Linked DNA regions of Coturnix japonica. The protein of the gene in region 2 purifies or fractionates together with the protein of the main gene of each other region. This does not show direct contact. Links are inferred from orthologs where the notes say so. Each region holds a gene or a part of one and is shown on either strand. Other genes may lie near its edges.

The links.
Region 1: the proteins of SPAST (region 2) and NUP160 purify together in Homo sapiens (affinity purification with mass spectrometry; 3 studies listed by BioGRID and IntAct, with this or other methods). This does not show direct contact. The link is inferred for Coturnix japonica from reciprocal best matches to the Homo sapiens genes SPAST and NUP160.

Annotation. Positions count from the first base shown.
Region 1 is NC_029520.1:526,643-534,986, reverse strand, and holds part of NUP160 (nuclear pore complex protein Nup160), read right to left. Parts: coding exon 8,215-8,344; intron 8,007-8,214; coding exon 7,928-8,006; intron 7,305-7,927; coding exon 7,190-7,304; intron 6,727-7,189; coding exon 6,568-6,726; intron 5,681-6,567; coding exon 5,603-5,680; intron 5,433-5,602; coding exon 5,335-5,432; intron 4,743-5,334; coding exon 4,658-4,742; intron 4,211-4,657; coding exon 4,142-4,210; intron 3,842-4,141; coding exon 3,758-3,841; intron 3,360-3,757; coding exon 3,189-3,359; intron 3,067-3,188; coding exon 2,967-3,066; intron 1,679-2,966; coding exon 1,498-1,678; intron 946-1,497; coding exon 827-945; intron 727-826; coding exon 566-726; intron 1-565. UniProt on the Homo sapiens protein: Functions as a component of the nuclear pore complex (NPC). Involved in poly(A)+ RNA transport.
Region 2 is NC_029518.1:30,261,484-30,269,755, forward strand, and holds the end of SPAST (spastin), read right to left. Parts: coding exon 8,202-8,272; intron 6,667-8,201; coding exon 6,596-6,666; intron 5,787-6,595; coding exon 5,746-5,786; intron 4,855-5,745; coding exon 4,732-4,854; 3' UTR 2,198-4,731; downstream 1-2,197. UniProt on the Homo sapiens protein: ATP-dependent microtubule severing protein that specifically recognizes and cuts microtubules that are polyglutamylated.

The DNA.
Region 1 (8,344 bases), on a different chromosome or scaffold from region 2:
CTCCCTTTGCTGTGGGGGCTTCTCCCCTCAAATGACCAGCAGCACTGCTTTCTCAGCCCCCCCCAGCCAGCAGAATCAACCCTGCCTGGGTTACCCTATAAACACAGCTGCCATCGTGGCAGCTGCTGGCACTGGCTGGAACAGCCTCGCACGGAAAGCAAAACCACGGCCTCTGGGTAAATGCTGCTGCTGTGAGGCAGAAGAGCTGTGTGCTGAGTTGCTGGATAACAAGGCTGCGATTGTCAGCTGTGCTGTGGGAGGGACGGAGACTGGATGGGAGAGCTGTGTGTGCTCAGGCAGCCCTGGTTTGGATGGAGGGCTGGAAATGGTGCCCTCCTCCCTCAGAGAGTTTTGCTTCCTGGATGTGCAGCATGGAAACAGGGAATTTGGGTGTGAGTGGATGACAAAAGACACAGGAGGAGAGAACAGGGCTGGCCCAAGCCTCAGGCTAGTTTCAACAGTTGCCAGTGTTTTGTGGGAAGAGAGACAGCTTGCAGCCTTGGCACCAAGTAACCCAGATCCAAAAGTTCAAAGTGTGCTGGATAGCTTGAAGGGCTGTACTCACAGGATCGCCCAGCCGCAGCAAGAGCTGTTGGAGGATCAACAGGTCCCGACAGATCTGGAAACGGATCGTGGCAATCTTACATACCCCCCAGCACACCACGCTGATGGCTGTGCTGCTGCCATAGAGCTGGGTGAGGTTCAGGAGCATATTTAGAGGGTGAGCTGAAAGAAAATCATGGAGATAAGGGGAGGAACCAGCCCAACAGGAACGCTGGCCAAGCGGCCACTTTCCCAGCCCAAAGTACTGCTGTAGGGCCTTCACCTCTTTCCATGTCAGCATCAGTCTCGTAGTCCATTTCTCGGATGAGCACTCCGATGGCATGGATAGGGTTTCTGATCTCCTGCAGTTTGCTGTGTATATCCTCCATCACGTTTTCCCTGCTTAAAAACAAGGAAAAAAAGATGAGGTTTAAACTGAAGAGGACTCCCTCTTCGCCCTTACTGATCCTCTCTAGATGGGAAAGCATCCAATCAGCCAGGATGCTGCCTGAATCCTCTTCTGGCTCCCAGTTTTATTGTAGCGCCTGCAGAGTCTGGGCTATTTATTCTGCTCCCCCAGGGCACTAGGAAATAGCAGTCAGATAGCGGGCATTCCACAGGGAGTGACTGGAGGAGGTTAGCATGTAACCACACGGCTTGACCACGGCTCTGACCTCTAATAAGCGTGCCTGCACAATCGGCTAATGAGAACTTGTTCCTCTTCCACCCTGCCTCATCTCAGAACCTGCATATATTTTGCATACATTTCTGCTCAGGGGAGCCTAAGGCAATAGTAAGGGGGCTGGGATGGAAATGCCTGCTAACAGGACCAATACCCACACCCACCATCTCCCTATGGCAGCACAGGGAGATACCCACGCATCCCCAGTGAGAGGACTGCTCCAAGCAATCCTTGCTCAGCTATCCCCTGCCTGCAGAAAGGCTTCTCCTTACGTGTCATTAGCTATCAAGTCCTCCAGGATCTGCTCTGCAGCCTTTTCTGGAGGCTGGAGGCGGGAACAAGCCATTTCCATAATGTATGCTATATCCATGGAAATTGATTCTCCGATCAGTCGAAGGCACTGGACAAGACAGACAACATCACGAGACATCTCCAAATCTGCAATGAAAGAATCTAACTGTATATTTACAAGAGATTTCAACAGCCAAGCGGGAGGACCATTCTAAACAGATTGGCCCAGATCACCATCAGCAAAGCACAAGCAGCAGATTGGTCTCAGTCCTGCATGTCACCTGCATGTCAAACTCACCCTGCCCTGCAAACATGACCAAATCAAAATGTGGCAGTTGACAAAGATTTGGACTTTATTTGGGGGTAAAAAACAAACAAAAAACAATTAACTATCAAATTCCCTGTAAGGCATCTCCTCCAGCTACAGGTTGAAAGGAAACACATAGCAAAGAGCAAAGAAATCCAAAGCCAGGGGCTCATACAGCTGAGCTCCACCAAGGAGCTGCCAATCCTGCTGTAGCAGTTCCCCATTTGCAGCCCTCTCTAGCAAAAAGGAGATTCTCACATTCTTAGGTCAATTCTCAGATCATTTCTAAGGGCCAAGAGTTTACAGAACAAATCCCTGTTTTCCAACACAGTCCCTGGGGTATGTGTATCTTAAAGATCAAGTCACTTTGTTTGAGAAGCTCAAACCAGATGGAGCAGGCAATGTCAGCCTCTCCAAACCAGCCCAGGCCTCCAGCTTTCCCTCTACAGGAGCCAGAAATAGCTCAACCAAGTGGAGGATGATTAAAAATAACCCAAAAATGTGAAAAAAATATAAAAAAAAATGACTCAAGCACGGAAGTAGGACTTAAATAATATTTTCCATTGCCTTTTTCTTGTTCCATCAGCAGCAAAGCATAGAGGGCACTGTGGTGATGATATTAATGATGAGTTTTGCTCTCTCTACCACTTACTTCTGGAGACAAGCTTCCCAGTCCCTCTCTGTAGCCTACATGCAGGTCCTACAGCTCTTGGTGAGAACTGCAAAGCCAAAAGGGGTTCAAACCAGGGTGTCACCCATAAGATCCTTATATAAGGGGTCACCAGCTGGCACGATATGAAATTATGAAGTATTTCTGATGGAATTGGCCTCCTGGCTTGAGTTTGCATTCACCTGGTAGCTGTTAAAGGCTGATTAAACAAAGCAGGGGGCAGAAACACAAGCTTCTGAGCCCCTGTAGCACACTGTTAGGCTCCAGTCTGGCAGATCTAACCCATAGAGTGGGTGTGAAGAAGGCACCAGTGTGTGTACTCAGGGTATGCCACGAGGCAAAGGATCGCACCACTGTGGATGCCTGTCATTAAGCCTGAAATCTAAGACTCTCCCTTTTTCAAGTTTTCCAAACTTATTTTTGGCACATTTACAGCCTCCAATAACAGAAGAGCTCTGCATCTCCTCACTTACCATCAAAGATGGCAGCATCGTCCTCAGTCAGCAGATGCTCATTAGAGAGGAGATAGAGATGGTCCACCAAGGAGCAGGGCACAAGGAAGGACACAGACCCCTAGAAAGGCGAGGCAAAGCAATTATGTGAGTTCCTTCAATCACTCCTCAGTAAGAAGGGCATGGCAATGTGCAGGCTAATTGCCTGGGTGCTTTACCCAGAGCACTGCTGCTCAGCCTCACCTTCTTCAGCACGCACACCATGTTGGTGTAGGGGTTCAAGAGCAGGGCCAGGGGCCGCGAGAGCGCTTCCTGGTACTGAAGGCAGCAGGCACAGAACTTGGACCAGAAATCCACCTGCAGCTGACAAAACTCCTCTGGAGAGCACTCGTACTCTGTCACGCTGCCCTGGAACTAGCAGGAACAAAACAGCTTCAGATGGGAACCGGAAGGGAATGAAAAACTAGCATTTGAACTGATATTGTGTCCCTTGTGACCAGCATCACATAATTACACAGTTAAGGATTTATAAAGACCACTTGCAATTCCCTTCCCTACCAACCTACAGGCAAAACTTATTTGTTTCTAACATCTCCCCACTAAAGACACAAAAAAAGAACGGGGAATGAAAAAACAGGTGAAGATTTTCTTTCTTCAGAACCAAAAACACAGTTTGCATAACTCCTCCAGAAATACAAAGGATAAAACACGGCTCAGGGTCATGTTGCATTTAACCAGCTTCACTGAGCCACCACAACACTATGTAAAAATGGATGCAAGAACAAAACATCAGAGGGAAAAAGAAACCCTACCTCATTTTCCACAGCTAAGGTAACCTCTTTTTTTAACTCATCCCACGTCAGGTCCATGTGCCTCTCTGTTCCTTGAGAAAATATCTGAAAATCAACACAGCAAGCCTTTCTTTAAACCAAGAGAGCTGTCTTGGAGAAGCATTCAGCAACATACAACATTCACAATGCATTATCCATTGATTTGTTGGGTGAAAGTGTGAAAAAACAGGGCTGGGAGCTAAGTGCTTCAGCCAGCTTTACTCTTTCTAACTTGCTCCAGTGACCCCTGACAGGCCTGTAAGCTGTCAAGAGCAAACTGATGCCAGCCAAGGAATCCTGCTGCCTCACATCTGAACTGTGAGGAAGAAGCTGAACAGAGAAGGCACCAAATGCTCTCACACGAACCTGCAAAGCTTTCTGGATGGCTGCATTTGAAAAGCGGCCAGGCATGAAGAGGTACTCCAAGTAGGTTTCCTGTGAAAAGAACAAGATGGGAATTTACAGAAATGATAAGATATTGCTGCTGGTGTTAGCTCCCGTTCTCAAACTCCTCCCTCTTGATCTGTATTTCTTTCCAGCTTCAGTTTACACTCACACTCTGCTCCAGCCTCTCTTCCTCCCCACCCTTTGCAGCTCCCACAGCTGAATATGGCTCCCCACACACTCCAGACCTTCTTTATTCATACAGCTTGTCTCAAGGCTTGCTCTGGACTGACTTGAAATTCTCCCCTTCCCTCAAATTCAGGCTTTGTAACTAGGCTTAGCACTTTAATGCTGTGATAAGAGCCCCGGGCTCATCTCCTTTAATTTGGAACAATTTCAAGAAGTGTTACAAGATAAATTGTACACTTCAGCAACCTTAACATCTTCCTTGGGGCAGAGAAGCTTCATTAGTTCTTGTTGCTTTTCTAGTCAGCTCACCCTGGGGTCCTGATCATGTCGAACTGTCACCTCCTCTTCAGGCAGTGGCTGCATGAAGACCTGGTTCCACTGTCCTGCCACGTTTCTGGAGTAATGAAACAAACAAGAAGAAAAACCAATCAGTTTTGCATTGCAACGCCCCCAGAAGCTGTCACCTGAAGCCAACCTGTCACACTGACAGCCCCTGGGGACTGGTGACAGGGCTTTGAGTGGTGATAAACAACAGATTGAGCCAGCAGAGCTTCACACTGTTATCCCCAGTCCTGAGCTAACCTAAATGCTCAGCATTTTTTATTCAGTTTTCAACTCCCCGCCTGGTTTCATGCCAAAAGAACCCTCTTGGCTTTACAGAAATAAGGACAAAGCTTTCATGTCACTGCTCACCTCAAAACATGATCATACTGGAAAAGAGCAGCCAGACCTGCTGCTGAAGTGCAGCCCTCCCTCACTGCAAACCTACTGCCTGCCTTCTTACATTTCTCACATTCCTGCAGCTGAGCTGTGGCATTATACAGCACAACACAAAAAATATCCACATGATCTGCACTGCAGGAAGACACAGCTGTGTGCATGACATGAACGCTGCGCTATCAAGAAGTTCTGGGTAAGAGCTTTCAATGAACAGAGCAGCATCTGACAGATCCCCCCCCCACCAGTAAGTCAGGGCAGAAACTCACTGCTCAAAGTTGATGTATTTCACGATGGTTTGGTTCTCTTCATTATGCCACAGCGCCCAGATCTCAGCTGAGGTCAAGGCAAAGTCGATGAGAGTCTCCTGCAGGAAGGGAACAGAAATGAAAGCACAGCAGAGACTCGTGTGGTTAAAAACAGCCAAACTCTCCCTCATGCCGTTTACCCATATTCTGGACAGAATTCCTGACTAACAGTTAAATCTAGCAGGGAATGCTCCCTTCTTATTTTGCAAAGACCTGCCCCAGCACTCACCTGAGAGGAGAATAGAGAGGATATGTGGTCAAGGCTGTAGCGGCTGCTCTCGGTGCTTACCAGCTGGAAGACACAGAACTACCAACACATCCTGTAAGTCGTTTGCTAAAGAGGAACACCAACCCGTGTGCTGTGGGGAAGCCTCTCCTTGCTCCCTGCGACCCATCCACAGGTCCCTGGTGTGGCAGCTGCCTGGCCAAGGGCAGCAGAGACTGGACCAAGCCAGCATTCCAGACTCCAGCCAGCCTTGTCAGCAGGACAGCTTGATCCCTGCCTGGACTTGAAGGGTTTCTTCTGAAAGACTGAACCAGCAAAACAACACTACTGCTGGTTCCTGCTAGCGACAACACGATGCAGGCAAACAGAGATGGAAAAGACTGGAATCCTCAGGCAAGCTACCTCAAACAAAGCTCTGCATGTTCTTACACAAGTGAGCTAGCACTGGAGAGACAGCAGAAGCCACAGTATGTGCTTCTACTCAGAGCTTCAACCCCCTGGAGAACTGCAAGAAGCTGTGCAAGAGATGAGGCTGCCCTGTGCTGTCAGCCCCCTCCTGCTGGATTCATTATTTATCACACGACATGGAGTTGTACAGCAGCTAACATTTGGCAGAGTGCTGTGATGCACTTGCACGTTCCCAGGAGCTCAACATAAACACACTCTCAGTGCTTCCACGTTTCTGGCTCCTTTCAGACCTTTCCCATGGCATGTGTGTACTACCAGAACAGAAGGTGAATGAGTGGATCAGCACTTGGCTTAATCACACACAACTCTCCTCCCAAAGCAAGGACACACATCCTGCAGTGCTGAGGACAAAACTGTTTACTCAAAGCGCTGCCTTCTCTCCCTGTAATGGCAAGCTTTACTTTCTCCTTATGCATACTCAGCTCCAAGGAGAAATTATGTATTTTCTGCATGGGCCAAGAAAAACGAGCTTATAGCGAGGCAGCCCTGCTGCTCCCTACCTGCCCTCGCTTGGGTGCATGCATGTACACGCCGAGGTAGAGCCCCAGGGACTGGGAGAAGGCCAGGCGCAGGCGGTGACAGGTGCCAGCTGCGAGCCGCAGGTCCCTGCTGACCGGCATGAACTCCAGGAGGTCTGCAACCATCAGGCACATTTGATCCTGCAGGAAGCACAAGAAAGCAGCATAATAAAGGACTGCAAAACTGCCTTCAAGTCTACCCCAGCAGCAGCCCAATCCTTCCCTGCAGAATGCCAGCAAAATATTTTTATGTACACCATAAGCATTCTGGTTGCAGTTTAGCTCCCCCAGCTCATCTGTGCTCTCCCAGCCAGCACATAAAGCTTCCCCTCCCTCCAGTAGCAGACACACATTCCAGCACAGCCCAGCCGTGAAAGTGCCTGTGCTGGCTGATTAGCTCTGGAGCAAGTACAATGCAGCAAGCAGAGGCTTTTAGCAGTTTCTTGTTGACAAAGAGTCACATTACATTACCACTCAAGCAGCAGAACACCCGTTTTGGGTGCTGCCTCATCCCTTGGGGTACTCCCACTTGCCTGCCAGAGTTAGTTTGGAAAGCACCCAATGTCACCTGTTAAACTACACCTGCCCCGAACGCAAGCCTCACCTTGTAGGACCACATCCGAAGCTTGTGGTCCTGGCAGAGAGCAAAGAGAAAGGCATCGTGGTCCAGGCAGTGAACTGCAAGGCTGATGGGCACGTCTGATGGGCCACCGTCACCTCTGAAAGCACAGGTGTGTTAAAAGGAAGCCAAGGTTGGCACACAGGTCCAAGGCAGTAGATTTCTATCGTGATGTTTTACCCATTAAGATGAAGGACTGAGGTGGGAAAAGAAAGGCACCTGGCCCCAAGCAACGCACCCCTTGTGATCCAACTCAGGGTGCCGCAGGCTCACTCACATTTCCCAGGAAGGCTTTAACAGGGTTTGATCATGTGCTTAAGCTGCCATAAGACTACAGTCCCCAAACGAGCTGTTATCTACACGTAACCTCTGCTGGTCAGAAAGAAGCCTGACATTTTGGAACAAGGACAAGAACATACAACTGTTGTAATCCTTAATCTACCCTGGCTGCGAGCCACATCCTGGGTAAATCCTCAGAGGCCAATTACTGGATGTAACACACTCACAGACACCAACGCACAGAATCAGCAGGACCCCACTAAGATGAACTAATCCAGCCCTCAAGTCTCACTGTGACGGGGCCTGTGACCCAGTTAACATTGCAGAACACATCTGCAGGTGCTGATTTGCCCACGCTGGACTTCAACTAGAAACACCACCTCCTCCTATGCGAGGGAATCATAAAGCAAAGCGAGCTCCCTGTGTTTGTCCCCAAACACCAACCTGATTGCTGTTGGCATCCAACCGGTGAGAAAGCGCTGCACCACCGAGCTCTGCTTCAACTCCACAACCGAAACAACTCCTTGCAAAATAAAAGCAACACAGGGAAAACACAGTGAGGACTTAGTTAACAAAACACATGTTGCCAGAAAGGAGGCTGATGCAAAAGAGATGCTGTGTGTGCAGCAAGGCCGTAAGACACAAGTGACAAAAGCAAAACCCATCGAGGTCCAAAGCTGGAAGAGGGGATACAGTGCTCCACAGAAGCAGGTGTGAGGATGCAGCCTTACCAGGTATGTCATGAGGAGGCAGCTTAATAACAAAGATGCCTCCTGCTGCAGAGGGTAGAGCAAAAAGGGCCTCCCCATCACTGCTCAGCCAGGCTGCTGAGGCCAGTGAGTTGGCTGCCAAGCCTGGCAC
Region 2 (8,272 bases):
CTCTGTCTCAAACCAGAGTTATTCACTGTATTTAACAGGGTAGGGGACAGCAATTTGCCTCCACCTTCTGCTTGTGTCACTTAAATCCAGACTTCTGAAAAAACTGACTAGCCCTTCACATGAATGAGGATTTGAATTGTGACAGTTTCCATGTTCTCAGCCCCCTTGATAGGTACACAAGCATTACATCAAGTACTTCTCACTTCCAATGGCAAAAACAAAAACACCCTGCAGAACTGAGACCACATCTTAAGCATCCTGAAAGAATAAACCTGTATTAACCAAGTACGAAGAAAGTCAATCTTCAAAGTCAGCCTCTGAAACAGAACTTTTAGAAGTGTTTCTTATGGAGACAAAGTCTAATCACCAAACTAACAGACAATTGCAAATCAAAAAGACGAAACTGACCAGTACCGACAGAATTGCAGTGTTTAACCGATACATTTAGATACAGTGGAGGAGGGTCTACCTTGTCAATTATTGCTGAACTCAGGAGGTAGTTACTGACAAAATAAACAGTTTACATCATGACAGCTTACAATTTACAAGAGAAGCAGAAAGAATATAACACACATCTGCCTGTACTTTAGATGATTCTGCCTTTGTAGGAAGCTAGTTTATGTCTGTGTCCTGTTGAAGTTACAGTACTTAAACTCTTTATGTATTGGTCATCTCTTAAGATGACCATGGAAACTCAAGTAGGTGAGTAAAACAACATCCTTCAATACTAACCAGAAGCTCAAGAGACACTAACAGTGAAATCGGTAACTGCCTCTAATGAGCATGACAATAAGGGAACTGTTCTCCACTGCTTGCTTGTTACCTTTTCATTTCTGACAACTGGTAGAAGTCCCCAGCACTAAAAATACAGGAGCTTAAGACTACCACAAAACGAATGAACATCTGTAACCTACAATAGTGCTTGCCATCTCCCACAGCTGCCACATGCAGAAGCATCGCTAAAGCATTAGAATAGCTAAACTTATCTTAGGCACAACTATGCAATTATCCATGCCTTGTAGGAAAGCAGTAGAAGATTCTAGCACACAAGAAATTTCATCATCTGTGGTGAAGGAAACAGAATGCTGCTTTCCATATCAGTTGCAAAACCAATACTTCAGTTAAATTTGCCAACATACCTGGTTTCGCAGTACTTAAATTTCATACAATGTACATGACAGCTGTGCCAGCTAAAAATTGCTTGTTTAGAACAGGGAAAACCTACCAATTTCTTCTATACTGGAAGGTAAGTTTAATTGTCACAGGAAGTTGTATGTGTAATAACCTGCCATTTTAATCACATTCAAAGAAATCCAACAGGGAGATCAAATTAGAAGATCTGCTTCTAGTTACTGCAGCAACAAGGAGTTCCTTCCCAGTTCAGATTCCATTCCAGTTATCAAATGTTACTATCATGTTTGGTATCTAAATAAAGCAAGTTGCAGGGCCATATTCAACAAAACTCTTACTCTCTGACTTTCTGAAGTACAGCTGATAAGAAGTTTTGGGGAGGAATGCCTGTTCCTAATGCATTAAACTATAATTCTGACACAATAAGAGAACAGGTGAAACTTGCAAGTGCATAAATATACCACTTCAACCAACCCGCTGCCTTAGACACTGCTCCTTCAGCAGGTAGAAAAACAAAACAGGTATTTCCAGCTTAATAAAACAGGCAAGAATGCACAAAGAAGACAGTTGTTTTTCCCTTCCCTCCAGTAAGTGTTTAACTTCAGGCCAGTAAAAAAACATATGCAGCGAGCCAGACAAGCTGCTTCCTAATAATCTCTGAGAAGTGGGTCAAGTCATTCATTACAGCAGTGGACAGATTCATCCTAGGAGGGGAAAAAAATAAGTCAGTTTAGGGACTTAATGCAAACATAACCTTTGCAAAGGTTAAAAGCATCCAAGCTGTTGTCCTGCTTATCCTAACCTAATTCAAGATAGATACTGCATTAGAACATAATCTGATTTTATGACATATACGGTCACAAAGTTCTATACAAAATATGTGAGTTGTGGGTTCCCCCCTCCCCACTCTGCTTTTAGATTTGCTTTTATACATAGTTAATCTAGCACACAGATGAAAATCATTGAGCTGGAAATTACTCAGCGTATGTAACATCAGAAATGAGAAGATGCGATTAAACATCCCGAGGGGAACAGAATTATTATTAAAAAGATACTGTTCAGTAAATAGTGTGAATGTGTAAATGTAATTTAAAGGCAATTCATGAACCAAATGGCACTTGGTTACAGACTAAAAAATACAGCAGCCACTGGGGCAAACTGACATTGCAGAACAAAATAAAGCTCTGTGTTGCAGAACTCATCCACAGAGCATCAATTTAGACATTACACATAAAATAATTAAGGCAGGATAGGTACCAAAAACATTACTGTGTCACACATTCTCCAGTCCTGAACCAGTTGTTCTTTTCCTTTCTGAGGTAGCAGCTCAGGCTTCTGACTCTTTGTGCTGCTTTTGCTTGTGGTGTTTTAGGAGGTGCGATGTTCTACCTTTACATTCCATGTACCTATCACCTGCCAATACACACCTGAAATTAATATCTCTATATTCTTCAAAATTTAATGGAGGGAAATTAGTTTCCTAACAAGTATTTAGGAATGCTTATAGCCACGAGTGTTACCTCAGAGCTCCCATTTGCAAATAATCTCCGGGAAAAATTTGCAAGCTTTATCAGTAGGAAAACCAGAGGCATTTGTTATCTGTTTAGCCATTTGGCATATGGTAACTAAACAGTAATACCTGTGTTTAACACTATGAAGTCTGTGACAAACATATTATACTAGCCAGAAATCTCAAAGAAAGATAAGTCTGCTGAAGGCAGAACTGAGGCAAAGCAAGAAAGACAGGAGATCAGACAAACTAAAATCTTTCAGCATTTCTTCTCTGGGAAGGTTGTTCAGGGGAACAGAAATCACATTTCATCTATATCAGACACACATTTGATAGAGTCATACGCTTAGAAGGCTAGAAGTGATTTGGTTAGAAGGTTAGAAATGGTTTCAAAAGGCATACTAGTGTAACACAATCTTTTCATATATTCAAATTAAAAGTAACTTAAATTAAAAGTGTCCCTTGTTAAAAAAACAAACAAAACACACTAATCCCAAACATACTGCATGAATACATCTCAAAAGCTTTACACACCTTCAGCTATCTCGTAACAAATACCATGCAGCGAACACCAAGCCCTCTCTTGGTATCACTGCCTTTGCACTGCATCAGCTATGTGTCTTCACAGATATAAAATTATAATATATACAGACAATTTTCAAATGAGTAGTGCCAGAAATATTTAAGACTTACTCCTTACAATAAAATAATTTAAAGGAAAAAGGACAAAGTTTGCCATTCAAACCAAAAGGAAATGAAGGAGGGAAATGAATTTACTTATAACAATTGTAAACAATACACAACTTTGCAACATCACTAAGCTGGGAGAGTTGTCTTTCTTAATTTTACAGCAGTTCTAACAAGGAACTGGTATCTGCTTTACAAACATCCCAGTGTTTGATTGATGCAGAATTTGTAAACAAGATGTCAGGCCTTTAGAAGTAAAGGCAGAGATGTTTTATTACAGCATTTAAAGGCTTGCACTTTTTAATAGCTTGTCATTTATATAATAAAAATCCAAGTATTTGTACAAAGATGCAGTTTCTTTCAAAAAAAAGCAGATCAGTTGAGTGTTTCATACTTTAATATACAAACCAAAAACATATGAAAGCTATAAAAACATTAATGTTCGCAATGTATTAAACACGTAGCCTTATGTTTAAAGGTTAAATGTGTAGGTTTAAAAAAATTACACAATGGAAATTTCACTTTCAAATGACCGCAGCCGGACCAAAATACAAAGTAGAAACACGTTTCTGAAACTTGACAATTAGCGTCACTTACTCTCTCAAACAGCTGGTCTTCAAGTCGCACACCATAAGCGTTAAGCTAACATTCTATCAATGGAAGCATTACAAATCGCGTTAAGTGAAAATACTGCCAGTAAATGAACGTCTTAATCTATTTCTTATTTAGTCATTTTCTTAAGAACAGTTTGAACTGGTTGTATAGCTTTTTGTTGGTTTGTCTGTTGCTGTTCTGCTATCACAGGTCTTTTTTAGAACTGTTCTGTGAACAACACACTCACATACAACTAAACAAAAAGACAAATAATAACAGACCAGCTGCACTTTACATTGTAATGAACGTAATCCCCCAGTGCTGTCCTTCAGCTTTGCATGGGGAATTTGTTTTATTTGGCACATTAAGGGTAAAAATAAAAATAAAGAGACAAAAGTGGAACCGAAGGTTACAAAACAGTCTTAACTATTAGTAGTCATCAGGAAGGAAGCCAGACATGAATGTCATGGCAGAATTAAAAACAAAAGTAATGCACACAACATAGGGAAAAAGCCTTCCAATGATCAATATCATCAGAGCCTTCCAACTGAAACAAAACACACAAACTATGATCAGATTGGTAGGAATCTTAACCAAAGTCCTATTGTGCTCTTACTTACAGTGTGTAAATCCTCACTAAACGGCAAGGAGGTTTTGATGAACTTATTTCACATTGTATAATTTTTTCATATTCTCAAGTTTTAGTGCAGATTCTCAAAGATCTGCCAAGTCCTGTAAACTTTGGCTGCTTTTCAGTAGTCTGTATTCCTGCTCCTCAGGCAGCACTTTGTTCCATCTGAAGTAGCGTTTCACACCGTGGTATCTCCAAAGTCCTTGTTCCAACGAACGTATGCTTCCAGTGTCTGCGGGCTCAAACTACGCTTTATCTTCTTCAAAGACTCAGTGAAATCTGATAATTTAATATTTCTCATCTAAAAGAAAAGCAAAAAGCAAATGATATTATGATGACAAGCAGTTCAAATGCTCCAGTTTATTCAAAAAGTACTTCAGTATTTACTTCTAACATGCTTCATATGATCTGATGCAATAGTCTTGTGCCATTTAAGATTATCATTACTTTTTTCTTATAATACGTTTGATAACTATGTTAGTTTTGTTACTTAATAACCCATGAGAATGTGTTACTGCTTCCTATTCCGCTAGGTGGTGCAAGCCAATGCACACAGGGGCACAAGCCTGAGTGAAGTGCACAATGTGGGATTTTTAAAACACATTTAGGGCCTAACTTTGTACCCCCACTTTGTGCACTAGAGGTCCTCCATACCCAAAAAAAGATACACAGATAATGTATTCAAGATCACAGTGGGCTCTCAGCCAAGTAAATCTTCTCATCTCACTTCTCTGATTCAACATACACCCTTCAGTTTACTGAGAACACAATTACAAGTAGAAATACATCCAGACACAGTGGGAGGTAGGCAAAGAGTGTGTAAGGGCAGTCGCATCATCAAATGAGTATTAACGTTACAGATGGTGCTGATCCTCCAGGTTTCATGATTACCAGGTACTTCTTAGGAAAATACTTTTATAAGACTTTACAAGAGCCAGTTTCTTCATTTTCTCCTTTCTAGGCTTAGAGATTTAAAACTGCTCAGAGAACCTCTGATATCTGAGGACAGGTGTTTCTTCACACAGTTTCTTTAAAACTTCTTCGGTGAGGAAGTAATCACAAAGATGTAACAGCCAAAAAAGAAAAAACAAACTCCTGTTTTGTAGGATACTAAGCATAAGCAAAGAGACATTAAAAGTTTCAGCTGAGCATGTTACTTTCAAAAGGGAAAACAATTGCTGGAACAGCATACCTCACTGGCAGACATATTCTTCACCTGCTCTGGTTTTAATTCTGTGAAAATAAAGAGAGATTACTGAGTTTTGTAGGAAAACCTACCTCTTCTGACAATTAAAACATGTTAAAATGTAGTTTTAATTGGAACACCACCACAGACAAGATAGATATCTATCTCCATCAACATAATATTCCTTAAGGAAAAGTACATGGTGGCATTTTTCTTTTCCTCCTCTTTCTTCCCATTAAGCACCCTCCCACCCAGGCTGCTTCCAAAGTGACTCACTACAGATACAGGATGACAGCAGAACAACATCCTTCCTCACAAAGGGAAGCATCCACGTATAACAGCTGCCCTCCACCATTTTATTCTTAGGACCCACATTTCTCTACCAGCAGAACATGCACAATCCCCAGCAAGCAAAAAGGTACTATCAGCCAGGAATACAGAAATAAATTAGGTAGGCACATAAAACTGCATCTCACTGCATACACTAATAATGGAAGTTCACCATTTCAGTAGCCCTCCTCATTTTACAGTTTTCTTTTTGAAGTATTATTATGGTAACAGAGTATAGGAAACTTTTTGCTCTGAGGGTACAAAGAACATAGGTGGGATCAGCGAGGCTGACATTAAAAAACAATTAGGATTTTAATTGGAAGCTAGGATCAGGTAGAAGTAGTAATTTGTGATCTCTTCTCAACATGGACTCGCATGCAAAGTGATGTGCCAAAGTATCTTTAGAGATAAAAGTAACTTTTAACTCTAATGCATACATAAACTTAACTACTATAGAGAAATACCTTTAAAGTCTTCAAGGGTATTGCAATTTTTTAGTCTAAACATAAAAGCTGTGCTAGCTTACCTCGGATTGGACCCAGTGCTGCATCCTTCGCTAATGCAGTCAAATCACTTCCAGAGTATCCATCTGTCATTCTTTAAAAAGAAAAAGGAAGAGATAGGAAAAGAGAAGAATGGAAAGATTGCTTTGAAATACCTTGTTGTTAACTGCATATGGTTAAGACATTATTTGATCAGAAGAAATACTATTTAAATGTTGCATACAATTCAGAGCCTAAAGAGAAACTCTTCAGTTTTACCAGGTCTTAGATTAAGCCATCTATTCTTTAATCAACAGGTGTTTCTTATAATTATTTAAGTTTGTGCGTTGTTTGTTTTTAACTATTTGAGTTAAAAACTTGTTTAGGTTAAGGATTAGTTCAGGGTAGTGGTCACAGCTTCAAAAACCTGTCAGCGGTCAAGAAGCACTTGGACAACTTTCATATTTCTGGTGCAGCTCTCAGGTGTGTGTGGAGTTAGGAGCTGACATGACCCTTGTGGGTCCCTTCCAACTCAGAGTGATCTACAGTAAGATCTATAGACCAGCCTTCTGCAGATAACTGCTCCAGTTAGTAAAAACAAAGTAAAATACATATTACATAAGAGAACTTCACAGAATCATGAAGAAGTACAAATTCCAATTTCTCCTGAAACAAAAATGTAAGTCAATTGGACCACTTAGGGCCCTCAACTTTAATCTTTTGATTATACTGTTTCATTAAAAAAAAAAAAAACCTCTTTATTTGCATTTGTTATTTGTAGCATAAATTGGTAGTCAGAATCCAAACTGCTATCTTCTTCCTTCACCTAGCTACTACTGTGGCTTAAGTACAGCTTGAGCTAGCACAGAGAATTTGTTCAGGTGGATTATACACCACATTTCTGTCACACCTCCTGCGTACTACCACAAACAGAATCAATACAGAAGGACACACAGTTGAAAATTTCAGATCTCACAATTGTTTTTCACTCCTTCCTGATGAAGTCACCTTACCTAAAGTTTACTCAGCCTTCCTCCACACCCTCTGCACTATCTGAAGAATGAAAAGAGCACTACTGTATCAATATTAATGATTAAAAAAAAAGCAACAACTTTGTTCCATAGTAAGGGTACTAAGCTCTCATTTTTTCCAAACAAACATGAAATTGAAAAGAACATAACATTACTCATTACTTGCTCTGTTATGTTGGTAATACTTCCAATAAACCCAACAACAGAAATGAAAGAAAATTTGCTTGTGATTTTAAATGCATAACAAATGCAAAACAGGTACTGACTTTTTACATTATGGAAGACAACTGGACTCATGGGACAATGGGTGGAAAGAAGCATCTCCCTCACTTCTCAATAAAAGTATTGATGAGCATGTTTCAACAATAAAAACCCCCATCACATAGTGTAGGGGTTATATATATATATATATATATATATATGTATATGTATACAGAATCCTAAAAAGAAAACAATTTCCTACACTCTGACTGAAGAACATCTCAGAATGCAGACACTGCATGCTCAGTACTGTCACTTCCTGAAGATCAACGTCAGATTAAATTTAGAGGGAAGAAAACAGCATGAATGAATTCAGTAAATGTGTATATATAATTCAGTATAGTTATAAAATACTTACCTTGCTAGCTGTGCCAACTCTTTTTGGGTCAACGGACTTCCTTGTTTGCTTAGAAGATTCTTTAGCAAAAT